2 linked regions of the Mus musculus genome follow. Each later gene encodes a partner of the first gene's protein in a complex. Links are inferred from orthologs where the notes say so. Each region holds a gene or a part of one and is shown on either strand. Other genes may lie near its edges.

Region 1 (5,779 bases):
ACCAAGCAATACCATGTAAGGAAAGACACACATTCTAGAAGTTAAAATGCAAGTGTGTCTATGACTGCTCTCATGCTAATTAGCCTTAACATACAGAAGAGCAGCGTCCACACAAAGAATTCAGTCATAGCAATAAGCTCCTTTTTGGGGAATGGGGCAGGCTTGGGAGGTTCGAGACAGGGTTTCTCTGTTTAGCTCTGGCTGACCTAGAGTTCACTCTGTAGACCAAGCTTGCCTTGAACCTGATCAAAGATATGCCTGTCTCTGCCTCCAGAGTGTTGAGATTAAAGATGTGGGCCACCACTGCCTAGCTAATAGTCTCCATTGTATTACAAATATTTTTATTCAAATTATCATAGAAAAACTGAAATAATATGGCAGTATATAAAAATCTGAATTTCAGCACAAATATTAATGTGCTCAGTTATATAAATTATATAAATTTAGCCTAAATATAAAGTAAAAGAACTTTAAAATGATGAACTTTTAAGATAAATTCCCAAGTGATATCAGATTGTCAAGTACTATTACAAAAAAGTTACTACTATCATCTACCACTACCAACACAGCTCACACTCAAAGTGCTCTGTTAACGTTAAAACTTATGGTGAGTCTGGGGGTGCAACTCAATAGCACAACATTCACAGAGCTTGCACAAGCCCTGAGTTCAATGCCTACTATCTCAAAACAATATAAACAAAATAAAACTTATTATCTGTCACAGAACTTGAAAAACAAAAGTCACCTGTCACCGAAACAATATTGAGTAACCGTCTCATGGTTTGTGGACTGATGTCACTGAACCAATCCTCAGTAACCAGCAGCTTTGTGAGATCAAAGGACATCTGCCTCGTGATGGTTCTCTGCATCTGCCTTCTGCGGTAAGTATCCTGAAACAACAGCACCAGTGAGAAACACCCATCCTTGAGAGTTAACATGCACGCTTATGGTAAGACCAACAAAACAGACTGCAGAGCCAACTCAGTGGGTAAGAAAAGCAGAATTCACAATATTAACCAAAGAGAAAGATTGCAGGCTAGTCAAGTACAGTCACTTCTGAGGCACTTTCCAGAGCAATGACTCAGTAGAGTTGGCAGGCAGGCATCCCATGTGTTAGAGAAAACGTAATGTCTCAGATAAGAAGTGCACAGAACTCTGTAAAGAAAATCACGGTCAAGCTCCATAAAGCCTCGTACTAGGAGCCATAAAACAATAAAGCAGGTAAGTTCCTTCATGGTTCTAGGGATTCAGCATCTCTATTTTTAGGGTGTTTTAAAGTGTAACACGATTTTATCCCAGGCACAGCCACTCTTAACTTCCCTGGCATTTCCTCAAAGAGTTGAAGGCACCCTGTAGAGTGGGCTGGAGTGGCTAAGGTATCCCACTCCTAAGAGAAGAACACTCCCCCGAGTCCTGACGCATGGGAAAGGTAGATGAAACCATAGGTCCCCAAGAACCTGGGCTGCCAAGAGAGAAATCCAACATGCAGCATCACACACCCCCCTGACCTTGGCGCTATCATTTGTCACTCATATTATCTCTGAATTCATATCCTGCAAAGCATGTGGGCACAAAGCCAAAGACACAAGGTTTAAAAAGTAATGCCCCCCCCCCAAAAAAAAAGCTGGGCGTGGTGGTGCACACCTTTAATCCCAGCACTCAGGAGGTGGATTTCTGAGTTTGAGGCCAGCCTGATCTACAAAGTGAGTTCCAGGACAGCCAGGGCTATACAGAGAAACCCTGTCCCGAAAAACCAAAACCAAAACCAAAACCAAAACAAAACCAAAGTAATGTCCAGATGGTAGCAAACAAGAAAACAGGCAATGCCAGTATGAGCCCACGTCAGCCATCCGTAAGTGACATTATCAGCAAAGCTCCCCTGCCTGTGGACACCTTCCCACTTTACAAGCCTAAATAAATACACCTGGTTTTGCTCTACAAATAAGATGGGTGGACAGAGAGACTGAAGCACTGAACCAGAAACCCAGGGAGACTGGGAAGGGCCCTGAATCACACCTGGGCGTGGAGACTACAATCCAGACCTTGTAAACATTGGGCAAAGAGAAAGAACCTAAAGAGATTAAAAAAAAAAAAAAAAAGTAGGGCCGGCACCTGCTCAGGAACGAACGTGAGGCCACGATCATTTGCTGGCTAGGAAATCTTACTACTTAGGTGCAGAGTCAGCAGTGATCTGGGAAGAGGCTGCGGGGTGGGGGCCTCCTCCCTGATGAAGGTCTTTACCCTCCAGGCAGCTCTGAGGCAGCTGACGCTGAAAGGGAGCTCCGCACCGACCTCAAGAGCTTAGCTTCGTGTTTGCCTTTACAGGAGAACACTAGGCGTTGATTACAGAGAACACTAGGCGTTTACAGAGTACACTAGGCGTTGTTTACAGAGAACACTAGGCATTGTTTACAGAAGAACACTAGGTGCCACAAACTTAATTTTATTTGAATGACTGCTAAAAAAATAAAAATCAGAGTCAGGATATAGCTAAGTGGCAGAATACTTGCCTAGCATGCGGAAGGCTTTGAAAGGCTCAACCCCAACACTCTAAGGAAAATTCAATCACACCATTAAACGGCAGGAATGGCACCTTACCCTTCTGTTGAGGGCCGTTTTGCTACCAAGCTTTGTCATCTCCCCAAGGCTGTTCTGTGAAACTCTTCTGTCAGCATCCTCCTGCACTCCTGGAAGAAAGCATTGGGACAGCACTGTGGTGGTTAAAATGAGTTTCTCCCAGAGCCTCCTGTGTCTGAACACTGGGCCCCACTTGAGGCTGCTGCTTGGGAGGCTTAGGGGATGAGGCTTGCTGCAGGAAGTGTGTCCCTGGAGATGCCTTTTGAGAGTTTGAAGATGTATGCCTTTGTGTTTGCTCTCCGTTTCCTACTTGCAGTGTAAGATGGGAACTCTCAGCTTGCTACTCCAGCCCCACTGCCACGCTTCCCGCCATAACGGTGCTGAATTCTTATCCCTTTGGAGCATAGCTAAATAAACCCCTCCTTCTACAAGCTGCCTTCAAGCTTGAGCACTCTAGGGCTTGATACTTACCTGTTGCTTCTGAGCACGAAATGTCCCCATTTGTTGCTGAAGTTACAAGAAATTTTCTTGCATTGCTAAGCCCACGACTATTAAGGAAAACTGGTAAATGAACTATATTGCGCATATAGTCATGTCCATTTATATTTGAATCACGAAGCACACTATTCAGGTTCTGGTTGATGGCCTTTATAATAATATGTGGATCACTTGCAAAAATGGCAATAAAAGGGCCCTTTGAAAACAGAACTCGGACCTGTGGTAAAAGAAAGGTATGGACGTGATGCGAATTTTTAAATTATACAAGAAATATCTTTTTTAAAATATGTACTATCCTTTGGTGCTATATTTTTAATATCATTCATTTTTTCATCAAAATTTATTCTCTATATATACAACTTTTATAGATGGCTCAATCTTAGATTGCTATCATCTACCCACAGTGACACAACTAACAAAGGGAACTGCTAATGTGGGTTCCTCCCCAGACACCTGCAGCTTACACAGAAGTAAGATCAACACATGGCAATTTCCGGTGAGCACATGTGAGTTCTGCATACTCAGTTAACCACTGTTGTTTATAACAAACCTCAGATCACAGCACTACAAATTCTCCTGGTCCCCTCTGTCCTCTCAGAGGACAAACATGACTGCTGCATACTGAGCCACACTTGTCACTCAGAGATGCTCTCTGTGAGGTTTTGCTGTGTTTTCTTCCTAAAGTGCCATCAGGCTGAAATGACTTAATCGTTCTTGATCAAACATTAACTTTTGCTATAATTCTGAATTTTAAAACATAGTTCTTGTGAGCGAGAGATTCACTAGAGAAAGCAGAGTTTCTTAAATAAGCAGCACAGTTTTCATCCCACTGAGATAGTTTGTGAAGTCATGCATCCCACGTGGCCACAGTGACAAGTGTGGAGACAGCGGAAACGTACAGTGTCCAGCATCTGCAGCACTTTATCTTGCTCACAGGCGTCCAGGCCGTCAATGATAACCACCAGCCTCGTCTGATTCTGCGTGAAGCTGTCGATGGTCTTGGCCATCCTGGCCATCAGCTCCACCTCACACTTCAGGACCTGCACAAGGCACAGAAGACACCAGAAGATAAGGCACATCCCTTTAGAAGCACAAGAGAAATCCATCCAATGGAGGAAAAGAAATCCCTTCAGGGTTTCAGGCATTTAAACCTGTTGTAGGGGTTTCAGTTATGACTGATAGCACTTGATTCTCAGGATGTCATCAAGGGATGCTATGATAGGAATTTACAGACTACAGAAGAGGTTGAGAGACTTACTTGTCAAAACTAAAGACTATGAATGACAAAAACCTTGGACTTGAATTCCACCCAAAACACCTACTGGTGGCTGCACTACTCTTGGCTCCTTGATGGCATCTAGTTTTTAACAAAGTTAAATATATTCAAGCTATAAGGCTTAGTAGTTACAATTCTTGGTATTTACTCCAAACTTAAAACTTACTTACTAAAAACTTACATCTACACAAAAACCTGAGCACAGATACTTATAGCAATTTTATTTATAACTACTAATATTTAAATCAACAAGATATATTTCTGTGGGAAACTGAATAAACGTACACTCTTCTTCCAGGCAACAATATTATTCAGGCCTAAAAAGCAATGCAATTGTAAGCTACAAAAGGGATGAAAGAAACCAATATGACAGGGCTACATGCTACATGGTTGCAACTACATGACATCATGGGAAAGACACAGATACTGAGATAGTGAACTCATCAGGGTCTGACTGGAGCTGGGAGAGACAGAGGCTGAACAGAGGAGGCAGGCACTTTCATGGCAGTAAACATACTGTAATCTTGGGTATGTTATCAAGCATTTGTGCAAACCCAAAGAACACACAGCACTAAGACTGAACCTAATGTAAACTGTGGACACTGAGTCTATGACGAACCAATGCAAGTCCATCAACTGAACAAATATAGCACTCCTTTGACAGGTATTGATAACAGAGGCTGTGCACAAGATACATGGGGTAGCTGGAGAGATGGCTCAGTAGTTAAGAGCACTGACTGCTCTTCCAGAGGTCCTGAGTTTGGACCCCAGCAATCACATGGTAGCTTACAACCATCTGTAATGAGATCTGATGCCCTCTTCTTGTGTGTCTGAAGACAGCTCCAGTGTACTTACATATAATAAATGAATTTATTTTAAAAACTAAAAAAAAAAAAAAAAAGATACATGGGGTATATATGGAGTTTGCTATAAGCCTAACAAACTAATTAAACTAAATTAAATGCAATAGACTTGGAGTCTTAGGGTACTTGCCTGGTATGCACAAGTCCCTACTACTGAGCAAATAAAAACAGAACAACAACAAAACCCTTGAACGTAACTTTTAACATTTCGAGAGCATGCTCAAGTCAGCATGGGGACAGCAGCATATTCCCACTAGTTTATCTAGTGACAAGTTCTTACTTTCATGAATCCTTCACTTTTCAGCTTATGTAATTTGGAGGCAGCACTATGGAGGCGTTTTCTCTGAGAATTCAGGAGAGAGTCCAGCACTTGCCACCATGTTCGACAGTTCAGCACAAAGGCCAACCCCACGATAGATGCAATGGATATGAGGATAGCATTCACTGTCAGATGTTTTGGGTCAACTCGGAATATAGCCAAAAGAGTAATTCCAGCAATAATGCAGCCAACAATAAAAAGAAAGATTATAAAAGACGGGAGACAGCATGTTTTTTTCCATTTCTT
Region 2 (5,779 bases), on another chromosome or scaffold:
TACCTAAACATTTTATCATCCTAAAGGGAAGCTCAGTCACAGATTTCTATTGCTCCAGCTGTTGACAACTACTGTCTTATTTCTACTCTAGGGATGTACCTATTCTAAATGGTTCATGTAACTGAAATCTTCATTGTGAACATGTATATATGTATTTGTATATGACTTCTTCACTTAGCATGTTTTCAACATCCATTCATGTTGTGGCATTATTCAATACGTCATTCACACACAGTTTGTTTATCCATTCATCCATTCATAAATATTTTGCTTCTTCTAAGTTAACATTTTTTATTTGTTCGTTTGTTTATATTATTATACTGGGGGACATGGGCATGTGCTCGCTGTGGCTCACAGATAGTGGTCAGAAAACACCTGTATGGTGACTTAGCCCAGTGAGTTCTTTCCTCTTATTGGGGCCAGAATTGGAACTCAGGTGTGTAGGCTCGGGGCATGTTTAGCTTTATAGACAAATACCTTATTGTTTTCTATAGCGGTTATACCACTTTCCATTTCTATCAGTAATGTATGAGGGTTCTGTTAAATCCATCCAAGTGGATGTCAGGTATTTTGTTATTCTTTTAATTTGCATTTTCCTAATAACTAATCATTTCAATTTCTCCTAGGCTTGTTAGTCATTTATGTATTCTTTGGATGACTAAATCTTTTGCCCACATTTGCTTTTGTCTGAAACTAGAAGAATTTTTTTAAAGATTTATTTATTTTATATATGTGAGTACACTGTTGCTCTCTTCAGACACACCAGAAGAGGGCATCAGAACCCATTACAGATGGTTGTAAGCCACCATGTGGTTGCTGGGAATTGCACTCAGGACCTCTGGAAGAGCAGTCAGTGCTCTTAACTGCTGAGCCATCTCTCCAGTCCCCCAGAAGAATTTTTCTTTCATTCTTAAGAATTTTTTGTTCAAATTATCTGATTTTTTCTTTTTTATATTTATTTACACACACACACACACACACACACACACACATATGTAAATACATAAACACACACACAGCCAAATACTACATTGTGCTGATTTATCTTTTTTTTTTTCACAACGAATATTTAATAGTTTTAGTTCATGTGTTAAGGTCTTTTAAAAAAGATCTCATCAGGCTGGCCTTGAGCTCACTCTGTGGACCAGGCTGGTGTTCTACCTCTGCCTTCCAAGTGTTGAGATTAAAGTCACGTGCTGCCATGCCCAGCTTATTCTCAGTTTTGAAATAATTTTTGGCTGGGCATGGTGGCACATGCCTTTACTCCCAGCACTCGGGAGGCAGAGGCAGGTGGATTTCTGAGTTCAAGGCCAGCCTGGTCTACAGAGTGAGTTCCAGGACAGCCAAGGCTACACAGAGAAACCCTGTCTCGAAGAAAAAAGAAAATAATTTTTGTCTGTATTGTAGAAATTAGAAAATTCTCTTCTCTTCTCTTCTCTTCTCTTCTCTTCTCTTCTCTTCTCTTCTCTTCTCTTCTCTTCTCTTCTCTTCTCTTCTCTTCTCTTCTCTTCTCTTCTCTCTTCCTTCCTTCCTTCCTTCCTTCCTTCCTTCCTTCCTTCCTTCCTTCCTTCCTTCCTTCCTTCCTTCCTTCCTTTCTTTCTTTCTTTCTTTCTTTCTTTCTTTCTTTCTTTCTTTCTTTCTTTCTTTCTTTCTTTCTTTCTTTCTTTCTTTCAATGCCTAGTTGTCCTGGCACTAGCTGAAGAGTATGTTTTTCCCGCGGGATGGGATGTTGGTACACTTGTTGAATGTCAGTTGGCCATAGATATATGGTTTATTTGGGGTTTTTCAATCCTTTTCTATTTGTGTATAAATCATTTTTATACCCTTGTTCACTGTTTTGATTATTGTGCTGTTATAGTACATTCAAAACTTGAGTATGAATTTTCCAACTATTAATATTTTATTACTATTTTGGTTATTGGAGACCTTTTATCATGTAAATCTGAGGTTTGACTGTTCTGTTTTGTTTTGTTTTGTTTTTTTTCTGAAAATAAAATGGCTGTTGGAATTCTGATAGGGATTGCATGAAATGTGTAGATTGATATGCTGCCATCTTAGCAATATCAAGTCTCAGCAAGTCAGCAACCGTGGCATTTCTTTCTATATACTTCAGTCTACTTTAGTTCCTAAATGTTTTCTTACTCTTGACATGTGAGCCTTTGACCTCCATGGTTAAAATTACTACTAAATGTTTAATTGTTTTGTTTTGTTTTTTTCAAGGCACGGTTTCCCTGTGTAGCCCTGGCTGTCCTGGAACTCACTCTGTAGACTAGGCTGGCCTCAAACTCAGAAATCCACCTGCCTCTGCCTCCCAAGTGCTGGGATTAAAGGCATGCGCCAACACTGCCCAGCTTAAATGTTTAATTCTTTTAGATACTGTTATAATTAAAATTGCTTTCCTAATTTTATTTTCAGATTGCTTATTGCTTTTATATATATATATATATATATATATATATATATATATATAATACACACACACCACTGAATTTTGTGTGTTGATTGACTTTGTGTTCTGCAACTTTGCTGAAGCTACTAACTCTCACAGGTTTATTGTGGATTCTTTGGAATCATCTATATTTTGTAATATATCTGGTGTCTTAGGATTCATAATATAAAGCTACAAATGTGTTTTTCTACTTTTCTAATTTTTTAACTAATCTTGACTCTGCTGGCTCTCTAAATTAAATAATTTATCCTACTAAGATTTGATATCTGGTTTATATGTTTGATTGCAAAGCAAGCACTTTCTCTACCCTGTTGCTTTTAAGTTATTAAATATTTTTATAAATAATAAATGGTTGTTTAAATTAAGTAAGTATAACTTGGTAGAGATGAAATGAAAGAAACACAGTAGGTGCTGGGGAAACTCACTTTTATAAAAATGTGATGTATCATGCCGGTTACTGGGAGTGTTGTAGGATGGGGTTGGGAAAAGTAAGTTGCAAATTAGTAAGAGCTGAGATCTCAGAGCTGAAGGATTTGAACATCATAACTCTAAGAAAGCTGTAGAGTAGAGATGGTACTGAGTGTTGGAATGGGCATGTGAGCAACACAGTACTTGAGAGCACCAGCTTTGTACAAAGTTATAAAGATTGCAGTTATAAAGGTGTGGTGGTAGAGGCAAGTGGGCTCCTTCAAGTTCAAGGCCAGGCCAACCAAAGGCTACATTTACATATACATCAATAATCCAGAGCAAATTACGCAACCTATCTGTGCTCCAGTTTTCTCAGTCAACATAGACATAGTAATTTAAATTCACAAAACAATTATACTGATTCAGACTAACTATTACATAGAATAGCACCAGGAATAAGACTAAGTCCTCACCTTATTAAGCATTCTATACATGTTGACTATGATTTATTTATATGGCATTTAAATTTTCTCATTGTCTTCTTGTGTTTTGTGTCTTTTCATTTTGCAACAAATCTGTGAGATAGGAGTTAATGTAGCCAGTGAAAGCAATGTTGAAGAGGATGTACCATACAAGAAGCTCCCATTGACAAAACTAGTCTTATACTAGGCATGGTGGTGCACATCTTTAATGCCAGCAGCACACAGGAGGCAGAAGCAAGAGGATTTCTGAGTTTGAGGCCAGCCTGGCCTACATAGCATGTTCTAGAATAGCCACGACTGCACATCTCAAAACAAAAACAAAAGCTGGTTTTACTGTTCAAAGCCTTTTAACCCTGTTGTCCTATAATTTAGAAAACAAAACAAAATTAAAAACTTATAGATCAATGGGATAACATGATAAAAAAAGCTTTGAGAGAACTTGTTCTAATTGCACTTTTCAGAGCAGAGAGGCAGAAAAAGCACCTCGGGGCAAGACTCCTAAGATAATCTAGATGCAGATTGTCTCTGTAGCAACGTCCAGTATAGGGCTGTGTCTCAGAGAATGAAGAGAAAAGATAATTAAAGGGAACATTGTAGATTTCATAACTAACCATTATATTTTCTTTCAGCTGTATTTAAACTTGAAACAGATAGAACTGTATGGCCCTTGATAAGAATCTATCGGGGTGGCTTTCTTCTGATTGAATTCCTTTTTCTACTGGGCATCAACACATATGGTTGGAGACAAGCTGGAGTAAATCATGTCCTCATCTTTGAACTTAATCCAAGAAACAATTTGTCTCATCAGCATCTCTTTGAGGTAATGAAGCACAGTCTTGTGAGTGTGTCCTCACTAAGTGAATGGCCGACTCACTGGGAGTCTCATGAGTGTACTCCACTCTGAGTGGCCGATCTGATGCCTGCTCAAGTCCATCTCCCATTTGAGGATTGTTGGATTGTTCATCGTTTTTTCTTATTTTTGTTTATTAAAGATTATTCTGTGTAATGATAAGAAGTAACTTTCTCTCTTTTGTGTTCCTTGTACTTTATAGATTGCTGGATTCCTGGGGATCTTGTGGTGCCTGAGCCTTCTGGCATGCTTCTTCGCTCCAATTAGTATCATCCCTATATATGTGTATCCACTAGCCCTTTATGGGTTTATGGTCTTCTTTCTTATCAACCCCACCAAAACTTTCTACTATAAATCCAGATTTTGGCTGCTCAAACTTCTGGTAAGTCTAGAAGGTGCATACAACATTTTTAGAATAGTGCATTAGCATTGGCTTCCTCCAATGCCACACACGGCTGCTGGATTGCACAGCCTCAGAGGCACATCGCACCGTGTGAGTGGTCCCAGCTTCAGGAGCAGGTGCTTCTGATGGATACCAGATAACCTTGAAAGTTTAAACGTGGCAGCCCTGGGAAAGTGCTTGACATTTTTTTCCATCCTAAAATGAAGTATAAAGTGACCAGATAGTGAGTTGATTTTATACATTTTGATTAGTTAACCAGTGTGGCAATATATAGACCTTTTTTTTTCTTTCTAAAGAAAAGAGAGCCAGGCATAGTAGTATCATGAAATTCCTTACTTAGGAGTTCAAGGCAGAAGGATCAGAAGTCCAAGGTCACTTTATACTGTATTTATGTCAGTATTATCTTAGATTACCTATAATTGTAGAATTCCTATAAAGTGTTTATTTGTTAAAGGTTTGTCTATTTTTACCTCATTCTTATATGTGAGTGTCTACATATATGTATGTATACCACATTCATATATGTGGGTGCCTACATATATGTATGTATACCATATACGTGGCTGGTATTTATGGAAGCCAGAAGAAGACATCTGATCCCTGGAGCTTAAGGTGCTGGGAACTGAACCCCCATCCTCCACAGGAGCAGCAAGAACATTAACTACTGAGACACCTCTAGTTTTCCTATAAAATTATTTCTAAATGAGTTTTTTTGGAAGATTCTGAAAGCTTACTGTGATACTATTGTAATACCAGGATGATGTAAGTGTGTACCTGTGTGCAGTTCCCCAGTGTGTCCTTTGTCTAAGTAGGAAAGCCATGATTTCATGCATGACTACTTTCTCTGATTAGTTGAACGATCTCTGTTGAGTGGATGTTTATGTCTGGGTCTGCACTGTGTTAATAATGCAGACTGGTTGATTGAAAAGGCTGGCGGGATGTATAAGAAGGATTAACACACTAGTAAAAGCCTTCCTAGAAGCAGTCAGAGAAAGAAGAGTAATTTGTTGCTTTTGTAATATTGTTACTAAAACGCAAGTGTATAGGTCATTTAAAATCAGTTGACCTATGTATTTTATTCAAATTTCATTGATAAGATAGTCCCTAAAATGTATGTCAGAAAATTAATAGAATGTTTTCACTGTAGTTATATTTCTTTGAAAAATTTTTAAATACTTGTCCTAAAA

What was found. Proteins that work in one complex are often made in the same cells at the same time.
Region 2: the proteins of Kidins220 (region 1) and Xpr1 are in contact, whole or in part, in a cryo-EM structure (PDB 9JXQ), measured with the Homo sapiens proteins. The link is inferred for Mus musculus from reciprocal best matches to the Homo sapiens genes KIDINS220 and XPR1. Residues at the interface, in NP_065789.1 of Homo sapiens: Glu36, Cys37, Gln39, Asp70, Trp72, Met102, Trp105, Trp110, Tyr113, Lys114, Val138, Ile142, Trp143, Gly146, Arg147, Ser166, Asp167, Lys168, Tyr169, Gly170, Trp176, Arg179, Lys180, Gln198, Glu199, Gly200, Ala201, Ser203, Lys234, Arg267; in NP_004727.2 of Homo sapiens: Leu95, Lys189, Lys190, Gln193, Glu197, Ala200, Asn204, Glu205, Ala636, Asp637, Asp638, Leu641, Leu642, Gln644, Met645, Met646, Asp647, Gln648, Asp649, Asp650, Val652, Arg653, Asn654, Arg655.

What each region holds. Positions count from the first base shown.
Region 1 is NC_000078.6:25,008,408-25,014,186, reverse strand, and holds part of Kidins220 (kinase D-interacting substrate of 220 kDa), read right to left. Parts: coding exon 5,495-5,779; intron 4,116-5,494; coding exon 3,975-4,115; intron 3,293-3,974; coding exon 3,049-3,292; intron 2,688-3,048; coding exon 2,599-2,687; intron 891-2,598; coding exon 746-890; intron 1-745. UniProt on the Homo sapiens protein: Promotes a prolonged MAP-kinase signaling by neurotrophins through activation of a Rap1-dependent mechanism. Provides a docking site for the CRKL-C3G complex, resulting in Rap1-dependent sustained ERK activation.
Region 2 is NC_000067.6:155,311,551-155,317,329, reverse strand, and holds part of Xpr1 (xenotropic and polytropic retrovirus receptor 1), read left to right. Parts: intron 1-3,968; coding exon 3,969-4,159; intron 4,160-4,391; coding exon 4,392-4,571; intron 4,572-5,779. UniProt on the Homo sapiens protein: Inorganic ion transporter that mediates phosphate ion export across plasma membrane.